Nothobranchius furzeri: one gene and its partner. The protein of the gene in region 1 purifies or fractionates together with the protein of each later gene. This does not show direct contact. Links are inferred from orthologs where the notes say so. Each region holds a gene or a part of one and is shown in the gene's direction. Other genes may lie near its edges.

Region 1 (5,288 bases):
TTGTCCTGTGGGAGAAAACTCGAGTGCCCAGAGGACACCTACACATGCATGGGGAGAACATGCAAACTCCACGCAGAAAGGCCCAAGCCAGATTTTGAACCTGCGACCTTCTTGCTGCAAAACAACAGAGCTAGCAACTGTGCCTCCTTGCAGAAATGATGACTCATGTATACGAGTCATGTAGCATGTCAGAAGGAAAAACAAAACTGTCTCACAAAAATGTCTATGTTCCTATGTGAAAATCAGCTTTTTACCAACCTTTTCGCTCTCTGTGCATCCGACTACCTCCACCAAAAAATAAGTCAAATATATCCATGGGGGATGCAAAGCTACCACCACCGCCACCACCTCCAGTTCCTCCTTCCTTTATTGCTTTTTCTCCTCCACGGTCATATAGATCTCTCTTCTTGGCATCTGATAAAACCTCATAGGCCTGTGATATCTGCTTGAACTTCAGAGAGAAAAAAAAAAGCTTAAACACATTTGTTATTGTTTGTGATGAAACAAAAACAAAACACTTACCTTCTCTCCCTCAGTAGGATTTTTGTCTGGATGATATTTCAAGGCTAGCTTGCGGTAGGCCTTTTTCAGTTCGTCTGGGGTTGCATTTGGCTTCACACCAAGTGTGTCGTAAAAGCCTGTTTCCTTAACCATGTTTGACTTTGACAGATGTTTCTGTTCAATTAAAAGTAGAATCAGTTGTAATAAATTTGACATTTACTACAAAAAAACTTACATTAACACCTTCACAAACATACCTAACGAAGACGCACGTAAGTTAATAGTGTAAAGAATTAGATTTTCTTGCAAGATTGTGAAATATGTTATTTTAATGCAAATGCATTTAACTAACTATTTAACCTGTACTTGAATTAATATAATAATTAGTAATGACAAAAGACTTACAATCTTACCAGAACACGTTATTCAAGTTAATATAAGAATACAAATCTTAGTTTTGCTATTTAACTTTAATTAGCCAGTGAGAGCAGAAGTTTCCCGTTTACGTCGCGAGGTGTTTATATCACTCAGTATTTTTAGGTAGGAGTTAACAGAAAACAAACAGAAGAAACATAATTTGTCTTCGTCTATTGTCTGAAAACATTTAAGTGTCTTATTTTCATAAACGTTTATATGACCGTATGGCTTCCAGTTTACACAAAAAAGAAACGATAAGGCCCCATGTAGCTGCTTTAGCTAGTGGAACTGGTGTTGTGGCGAAAAAAGTTACCCTGTCATAATGCGCATTTCGTTACGGGTAGCAGTTGCTTCCGTTGAAAAACCGACACATCACTAGCCCGTTAAAAACTGAAAAAGAAAATAGCTCTGTTCATCAGCACTTTACAATAATATTATAAACAAATGTTTTGATGTAACAGAAATGTATCTATCACGCATCAGTACAGTATATAGGAGAAAACGGTGTTGATTTGGTGGCTAAAATCAAGTCTTGGTAACTAATTGTAAAATTTAAGCAAATAAAACCACGAGTTACCTTTTTTTTTAAATCATCTTTGACTTCAACACAATTTATTAAAAATGGTGAATAAAGCAGAGATGACCATCGCGAGAAGAGGCTTGATTACAGGGGTATTTTTCTCGGTACAACACCACATTAAAAATCCAACGCTATCAATGTTGTTTTCCTCTATTTGTTAGCAAAAAATTTGACCTGAGACCGGTATATACAAAATATGACTTGAAAATAGCTAATTTCCAACCTTATATGAAGACAACTAAGACCCTTTCAAGGCCAAACCGCACATCGACTGTCTTCTAGAATCTTCACCCGTGTCCCGTGCTGCGTCCAAACGTTTCGCCCCGTTACGTCACTTTTTGGCGACGAAACCGTGTGGCAACACCCCCTTTAGCCAAAACCGATGAAGAAAACAAGCGCACGCACAGAAAGAATGGCGATGCAATGCAATGGACTGTTTTGCAATTTTTTTCTGCAGAAGTGGAAAAAGTCAGTTTACTTTAAAATTTACATCTCTTGCGCTGCTCAATTTACCTTATAAACGCGGTAGGCTAGTTTATCCTACTAAAGTACTAAATCCTAAATTAAAACGGTTGTAGGATCCTGAGTTTAATTTAATGCTAAAAAAAACAAATACCGAAAAGTTCAGACTTTTTAATATTAACGTTAAATTGAAAACATTAGCCTGCACCTGATTCCTGATTTGAATGATAGTAATGAATATGTCAGTTTTCTTGCTGAGGTTGCCTCTGCTAGAAATGTCAGTGCTGTTCTTAGATGAGAAATAGAAATAGAAAAGATTGTTTGGTCCAACCTGCTTAAATAAAAACTGATTATGTGTTAATTGGAGAAAAGGGGAATATGTCATGTTGACATGTTGCAATTTATATATTTAAGCACTGGAAAATACAGGATAAGGAAACAAACAACTAAAAAAACATAACAACCACACAAATAACACTTAGAGGGCTGCTGTGTCTAAACTGAAATGATGAAATAAATGTATAGTCTTGGTTAATTTGTTGTCGTTCTTTTTAAATTTTCCATGCTGTTCCAGTCACTTTCTCCATTCATCCCGGATGTTTTGCCCCCTTAGATGATAGTCGGGCTTTAGAGAAGTTCATTTTGAAGGCGTTCTTATTTAGAAAAACACATTTGAACAGTAAAAAAAACTATGGTTATTACGCTACGAAATGTTCTAAAAAATAAAGCTCTGACAAAAACGTAAAATTCGCTTTTCTTTTGCTGAGTAACATTTGTGATAGTAATCTTGATGACGCATTTCCGGTAGATGTGGTGGTTACGTCATATTTGCTCGCCGCCGGAGAACGCTAAATGACTGATAAAATGCCAATTTGCTGGCTTATCAGTAAGAAAGGAACTCACAGACCCATCCAGCTGCCGCATTTACAGACAGTCGTGTTGGGTCGAGGCCCAGAAACGACTATCAAAGACAAAAAATGCTCCAGGCAACAAGGTAATTTCTCTATTGTCGCTGCGCCTCATTTGTAATGCGTAACACGCGTGTAGTAGTTTTTTTTTACATTGTTTTTGTACTTAATTCGTTCAAGTTTCTTTCCTTCTAAGGATAATTAGAATCAAATTAGGTTTTTAAAAGACCTGCGTATTTTTAGACTTTTATTTTGAAGGACTAAAATAATTCAGCTGGCGCTCTGCCATTAAAGCAACTCAAAGACAGCACATCATGTAAAAATGCACCATTTACATAGTTTTCTTTCTAAATCACATTCAGAGGCCATTATGATAAAAACGTAACAAATACGGTCAGCTTCAGAAGCACAGCAGGCGTCCTCAGACCATTCCTGAACTATTCTACTTCTGGTTTATTTTAACTTTTTCTTTATGCAATTTCATAAATTTTCCTCAACCTTTCAAGTTTAATTATAATTATCCTTTTCAAAACAAAACTTTTCATTGCAGGAGTACGTGATCATATATTGTAATGTGAAAACATCAATTTACTTTTAGGATTTTCCAGGTGTATATAAATACATTGCATATTTAGCCACTTAATTTTTCTTGAATTATATATTCTAATTTTTACGCTGTAATTGGTAACTAAAGTTATGGCACTGAAGAAGACCAAAAGATCTGAGTAACAGCGTGCTCAAATATCTAAAAATGACATCCTGTTCCCCCAATTTAATTTTATTTATTTTTTATTTAAATTTGTCACTAATTAGCTTTGTGAAAATAAAAATCCTTTAACCTGTTTAACTATTATCCTTCCCAACCAGTTGAGCTGAAAGCTGAATGCAACAAAGGTTATGTGAAAGTTAAACAGGTGAGAGAGTTTGGATTACTAATTTATCAGCAACAGAAGCACAATTAATAATTATATGATGATGTTTGTTGTTAAAGTCTCAGTCTTGACAGTATTCTTTGAATATGCTTGCTGTGTGTTTAGCAGGTCTGCTCTCTGTAATAATCTGTATTTAAACTTGTCTATGAATGGCTCCAAAGCTGGGTTTAAACCCCACCTCTGTGGACTCTGCGGTGGTGGGAAAGGGCAACGAGGTGAAAATGAAGCCTGGACAGCATCTTCACGTTGTCAATCAGCTTTACCCATACACTGTCCAGTTCAAAGAAGATCTCACTGGAAACGACAAGAGAGACAGAAGACCAAGAGAGCCTACAGAAGAGGATGGAGAAAAACAGAAAAGCACTCTGACTATGAAAGCAACAATACACACAGAAAAGGATGCCGTGTCAGGCAGTCCTGTAGAAGCTACAAAAACAAATGTGAGAAGAGAGATATGTGTTTCTTTCTTGTTTTATTGTTTATTTGATCATTTTTGGACCACCTGTATTGTTGGTGGTCATTTTATTTCATGCAGATAAATGTTGTTTTCTGATATTTGCCGTAGGTAAGTGTTGGACATTGGAGCCAAGGCCTGAAGACTTCAATGCAAGACCCCAGTATGCAGGTATACAGGTACTGCAATATGGACGACTGCGTTTTCTTAAAGAGCAAGTCACCCCTACCAGATTCTTAATCAACTCTCACTTCCTGTTTGAAAAATGCAACAAATGCTGTTGCCTAGCAGACAGAGAGGGCGGAGCCGCTAACAAATACACACACACAGGCTCACAACGGCATTGTGACATCATAATGTACCAGTTTACATCATAGCATACCTCTTAGCCAATAGCCACGGCAGATTTAAATTCCAATGCAGTGCAGAGTTTTTACCCGACGACGGTGCAACACTGACAGTTTTAGGCAGAATATTTAAATTTTAACTAAAATGCACTGAAGTACCAAATTATTGACCACACATGTCTGCAGCACAATTAGACACACATTTATATAGTTTATCAGCAAAAAAACGTTGATTTGGGGGTGACTTGCTCTTTAAACATTCTTAAACTCGCATAACTTTGTCTCAATTTTCCAGGTTTACAAGGATGACCGAGTAGTTGTCATTACAGACAAATACCCCAAAGCCCGCTACCACTGGCTAGTCCTTCCATGGCAGTCGATTCCCAGTTTGAAGGCGTTGCGTGAAGAGCACTGTGACCTGCTGAAACACATGCAGCAGGTCGCTGATCGTATGGTTCAACAATGCCCAGATTCGGGTTCGGTACGCTTCAGAATGGGGTACCACGCCATCCCGAGCATGAGGTAAACCGAAACCGCACGGGAACCCCTCACTTTATTATTTATTTCATTCAAAGAGACACCACTCTTTTTTTGAGGTCTTGCTTTATTAGAGGTACCTCACAAAAATCATGTTAATTTCATTATCTGTTGCTTTAAAATAAAGGTTACACCGAGTCACTTTAAAGG
Region 2 (5,007 bases), on another chromosome or scaffold:
TCGGCGCCACCAAACCACAGTACGATATTTGGGGGTCGACGGTGAACCTGGCGAGTCGTATGGACAGCGCAGGTGTGAGCGGACGTATCCAGGTGCCTGAGGCCACACAGATGGTCCTGGCAGAGTGGGGCTTTGTCCTGGAACTACGAGGAGAAATATTTATCAAAGGGGTGAGTGTTTGTTGAACTTTCACATGTTCAAGTTCTGATAAATTCTATTATAAATATCATATATTTTGTGGTTTTTTTTTTTTCAATTATGACTAAATGTACAAGGATGGGTACGATTAAGGTAGTATTTCCTGTTTTGTTTTTTTTAAGTTCAAAGTACCCATGAACATAACACCATATTTGATTGTACTTCTGTTCAGGTGAGTGAATGCCAGGGGAATGTTCGCACATACTTCATCAGCACCATGCGCAGCAAAAGAGCCAACATCGGAACAGATGGGCGCCCAGGTGGCCGCACAGCAGGACGCATGACTCTAGCAGAAGTGGTATTTGGTCTTGTCCAGGCCAGACACAAAGAGAGGATGAGAGAGTCCAATGGGAATTTCACTTTGACTCCCAGTAAGCTGCTTTGCTGAGCAATGCACAAAGAAGAAGACACATTCCATGAATGTATTTCAAGGTTTGCTAGTTGGATCAAGTCTTGCCAAACTCCTTTTTCCTTCTGATCCATCCTGTCACTATAAAACTAAATGAGTTGAGACCGTCTTGGGTGAAATCATCTATGATTTCTCATCTAAACCTTACTTTGGAAATTAACTATTTATAGCATCATAATATAGGTTAACTTCATCATCTGAAATCTCTGTTTTCAGTTGTTGTTTATGCTATTTTGTCCAGTTAAAGAAAAGCCAACACATTTTCTTGCTTGCTTAGAAAATGTGCTAGCAAGAGGTGAGACCTCTACGCCAAAACACACAATACCTCTTAGAATTTTACTCAGTGGCCTGTAAAGCCCTGGTTGACGTTTTTAGTGAGTTATTTTCCACCAATTTTGTTTACAGTTAAAGATGTTTTTATATTTATTAGTAAGCCCAAAGATTTTTTAGAAATAATTTTACTAATTAATGACTATGTGAAAAATTATTGTAAAGACGAGTAAATGAAAGTCTCCATCAGTGTATTATTATTGTCGTTATTGAACCCAAATTGTTATCTAGGCCCTTATAATCAGGTCATAGTTTTTAAAAATTTTGTTTTCAAAAGACTGAAGTTCATTTGATGAACACATATTGTATTTACATTTTGTATGTTTATTTTTTACATAAACTTTCAATGTGAATTGTGCAAATAAAAATCTTAAAGCAGAACTATTCTTTGGAATTGTTTGTTTGCGCATTAGTTCTCAGTGATCAACTATAAACAAATGCAACTATTGTAAATATATTTATAATTAACATACTTAATAGTTTTGCTTCATGTAGAATTTCATGTTTAGTTTTGTAAAAATCTGATTGATCTGTGCTCCATTAGTTCTGGCTGAAACTCGCGCGGGAATTCTGCGAACCAGTTCACTGATCCTATATTGCTCTTAAGATGCCCCACTTGGTAGAAGAAGAAAAGTTAATGTGTGTAGCGCCTTTCAAGATAAAAATCACAGTGCGTCAGAGATTTAGGTTAGGGCAGAGCTACTCTAGCTCTGGGTTAGAGTGGCCAAATGTTTCTCTCTTTTATGAACCGTTAAGAATAAACAAAGTTGTTATGTGGTTACAGTGTAACAACTCAACCCTGATTTTTTTCGGTACATTAGAGAAAAATACAAACAGGTGGGGACCACACAGAAGTTTAAAATGGCCAAACGAATCATCATAATGTCTCGAATCATAACGTAAACAAACTAAAACGTAATATACCACAAAGTACATTAAAACAAAGTTAAAACTTACGTGGATTGTAAATCGGAGTCAGAGTGAGACCTCGTCTCGTGAGCTTCCTCTCCAAGTAGCACGCGGGCTGCAGCCGCCGCTCTGCCTGTGATTGTTGTGGTGGCTCCGAGAGTGCATCGGAGAAAGTTGCCCTCTTCATCACGTCGCTTTGTTTGCTTGTTTGCAACATTAAGGAACAATGGCGGACTCCCAAGATGACAAGCTCTACAAGGCGGAATACGCGAAAAGCGGCCGGGCTTCGTGCAAGAAATGCAAAGAGAGCATAGCTAAGGACTCGCTGAGGATGGCCCTCATGGTGCAGGTGAGGAGGTAGCGACGTCTGGAGGGATTTAACCAAGGAACCATTCTGTTATGAAGCCTTTTATAACCGTGCTGATATCTAAATCATATGTGCGCATATAGAGAACCATAATAATCAGACTTTAAACTAATCTAGTGTAGTTTATAAAGGAGTTTGAGTTGTGCTAAGTGAGGCCCCCGGTTAGCATTTAAATGGCTGACTGAATGAATCTGGCTCACAAAGAGCCGCCTGGATCGCCTCAGAGGGACTTAGGACAATGTCTGAGACCCATCCAGTGTGCTGCAGAATACAACTGCTCCATCCTCTCCTCCACTCAAGAGACATAGATAAAAAAAATCACACAAGCAGCTGTTCCAGTCTGTGCAATAGAGAAATAATCATGTAAGAGTCAAACTCCTGCTTATTGGTCAGTCTGTGGGTCCAGATCAGCACTCACCCCTGCAAAAGGAAGGAAAATTCATTACCACTTGCACACATTTAAAGTTTCAGCCACAAAATATAGTCTATATAGTATTTCTTTTGTAACGTCTTAATAGTTACAGTAATGCATATTATCAGGTCAGTGGTTCCTTTTTGTTTTTATTGTTGGAAAACCCAACCGTGTGTTGTGTATTTTCTGCAAAATATGTCAATTTTTTTTTAGTTCTGGCTGCATGAAACATTGACATTCTTGTGAATATGTTTATTTGTTATACTTGTTTAAATAAGTAAGTCAGAATTATTATCTGTAGTTTTAAAGACAAAATTGTGAAAACCCTTGTTTACAAATTCATGATTTTATTTTTAACGTGAGTAAAATCTGAATTTTTTTAATGCACAAAAAACGTTTGTCATGTAAAACCAGAAAAATTCCATCCATCCATTTTCATCCGCTTATCCGGAGATGGGTAGTAGCCAGTAGCCGAAGTCAAGAGGCCCAGACTTCCCTCTCCCCAGCCACTTGGGCCAGCTTCTCTGGTGAAATCCCAAGGCGTTCCCTGGCCAGGTGAGAGACATAGTCCCTCCACCGTGTCCGGGGTTTACCTTAAGGGCTCCTCCTGGTTGGACGTGCCCAGAAAACCTCACCAGGCAGGACTGCGGGTTCCCGTCAGCTGCCTCTGGAGTCCCACAGGCCAAAAAGACCTGTTAGGACTCTTTCTTCAGCTTGACGGCATCCCTAACCGCCGGTGTCCACAAGCGGGTTCGGGGGTTGCCACCACGACAGGCACCAACGATCCTGCGACCACAGCTCCGGTCGGCCGCCTCAACAAAAGAGGCACGGAAAAGAGTGCATTCAGACTCGATGTCCCCCGCCTCCCCCGGAACATTTTGGAAGTTCTGTCGGAGGTGGGAATTGAAGCTCCTTCTGACAGGAGACTCTGCCAGACGTTCCCAGCAGACCCTCGCGATACGTTTGGGCCTGCCTGGTCTGACCGGTATCCTCCCCCACCATCTGAGCCAACTCACCACCAGGTAGTTGTCAGTTGCCTGCTCCGCCCCTCTCTTCACCCGAGTGTCCAAGACACGCGGCCGCAGGTCAGACGAAACGACAACAATCCATGACTAGCACAGAAATCCAACAACAAAACAACATTCAAATTCAGAAACCAGAAAAATTCAAACAGAAAAACCTTTATTCTCACTTTAATGGTTTTGTTTTTTTTTTTCATCTTTTTTTTCTGATATTTGCTGTTGCTTCATTGTCTTGTTTTTGTCCTCCAGTCCCCGATGTTCGATGGGAAAGTCCCACACTGGCACCACTTCTCCTGCTTCTGGCAGCGAGCGGCAGCTCAGACTGAAGCAGACATCGCCGGGTTCTCCACTCTTCGCTGGGAGGACCAGCAAAAAGTCAAAAAGGCTATTGAGACTGGAGGAGCTGTCGGAGCAGGTCGGTGGTAGATCTTTAATTATTGTGTTCAGCGCCTTGTTTGGTTGTAATGCCTTGTGAATGCGCTTTATAAATAAAATTGGATTGGATCGTAAGCAAAAGAGCTTAAGATAGCTACTTTCAATTGGTTTAACTTTGTCTTATTAGCCAGATAAAAAAGTGAAGTGATCCATAAAAAGTCAAAAGAGTGCCATTTCTCAAGTTGTTCTAAATGTTTTTAATTTATCATTTACTATTAATGCATATTTTTTTTAAATGTTTAGACTTATTTTCCTTTGCATCTTGCAGGGAAAAGTGATTCAAAAGGTGCCGCTCAAGGGGCCAAAACTCTGAATAACTTTGCCGTGGAGTACGCCAAGTCGAACCGCAGCACGTGCAAAGGCTGCGAGCAAAAAATAGAAAAGGTCCGCAGCACAGGAAATGTCTTAATCAATAACCGTTGAACACGTGTCATAAATACTTCACATGTCTGCCGTATTTTTGCTTCTCTTTCAGGATCAGATTCGTGTTTCCAAGAAAACGGTTGACCCAGAGAAACCTCAGCTGGGTCTGATCGACCGCTGGTACCACACGGCGTGCTTCGTGAGCCGCAGGGAGGAACTGGTGTTTAAGCCCGATTATTCCGCCGCCCAGCTGAAGGGATTCGACGCGCTGCGCGCCGAAGACAAGAACGATCTTAAGAAGAGGCTCCCTGCTGTCAAATCTGAGGGGTGAGATGACAAACGTTTAGTTTAGAGATTTGTTTCCTCAGCGATGTTATTCCTGCTGCTCATCGTCCTGCAGCACAAGAAAATGTCCTTAAACGTGTCCCTGAAAGCCGTCATGGTGTACGCGTATAGGAAGGGGTTGATGGTGGAGTTTGCGTGTGACAGGATGATGGCGGTGAGCAGCAGCTCCAGCGGCACGGAGCAGCGAGGGCAGAGCAGCAGGAAGCAGTTGATGACA

The links. The genes of interacting proteins can lie anywhere in the genome.
Region 2: the proteins of aptx (region 1) and parp1 purify together in Homo sapiens (co-immunoprecipitation; 3 studies listed by BioGRID and IntAct, with this or other methods). This does not show direct contact. The link is inferred for Nothobranchius furzeri from reciprocal best matches to the Homo sapiens genes APTX and PARP1.

Annotation. Positions count from the first base shown.
Region 1 is NC_091746.1:79,993,594-79,998,881, reverse strand, and holds the start of aptx (aprataxin), read left to right. Parts: upstream 1-2,028; 5' UTR 2,029-2,812; coding exon 2,813-2,954; intron 2,955-3,735; coding exon 3,736-3,782; intron 3,783-3,905; exon of another isoform or gene 3,906-3,945; coding exon of another isoform or gene 3,946-3,961; coding exon 3,962-4,240; intron 4,241-4,365; coding exon 4,366-4,425; coding exon of another isoform or gene 4,426-4,433; intron 4,434-4,896; coding exon 4,897-5,123; intron 5,124-5,288. UniProt on the Homo sapiens protein: DNA-binding protein involved in single-strand DNA break repair, double-strand DNA break repair and base excision repair.
Region 2 is NC_091742.1:4,978,997-4,984,003, forward strand, and holds the start of parp1 (poly [ADP-ribose] polymerase 1), read left to right. Parts: upstream 1-1,948; 5' UTR 1,949-2,072; coding exon 2,073-2,195; intron 2,196-3,896; coding exon 3,897-4,062; intron 4,063-4,350; coding exon 4,351-4,466; intron 4,467-4,557; coding exon 4,558-4,772; intron 4,773-4,778; exon of another isoform or gene 4,779-4,793; coding exon of another isoform or gene 4,794-5,007. Other genes in the region: si:dkey-206f10.1 (adenylate cyclase type 8), read left to right, coding at 1-170, 371-586; adorb1a (adenosine A2c receptor), read right to left, coding at 4,794-5,007. UniProt on the Homo sapiens protein: Poly-ADP-ribosyltransferase that mediates poly-ADP-ribosylation of proteins and plays a key role in DNA repair.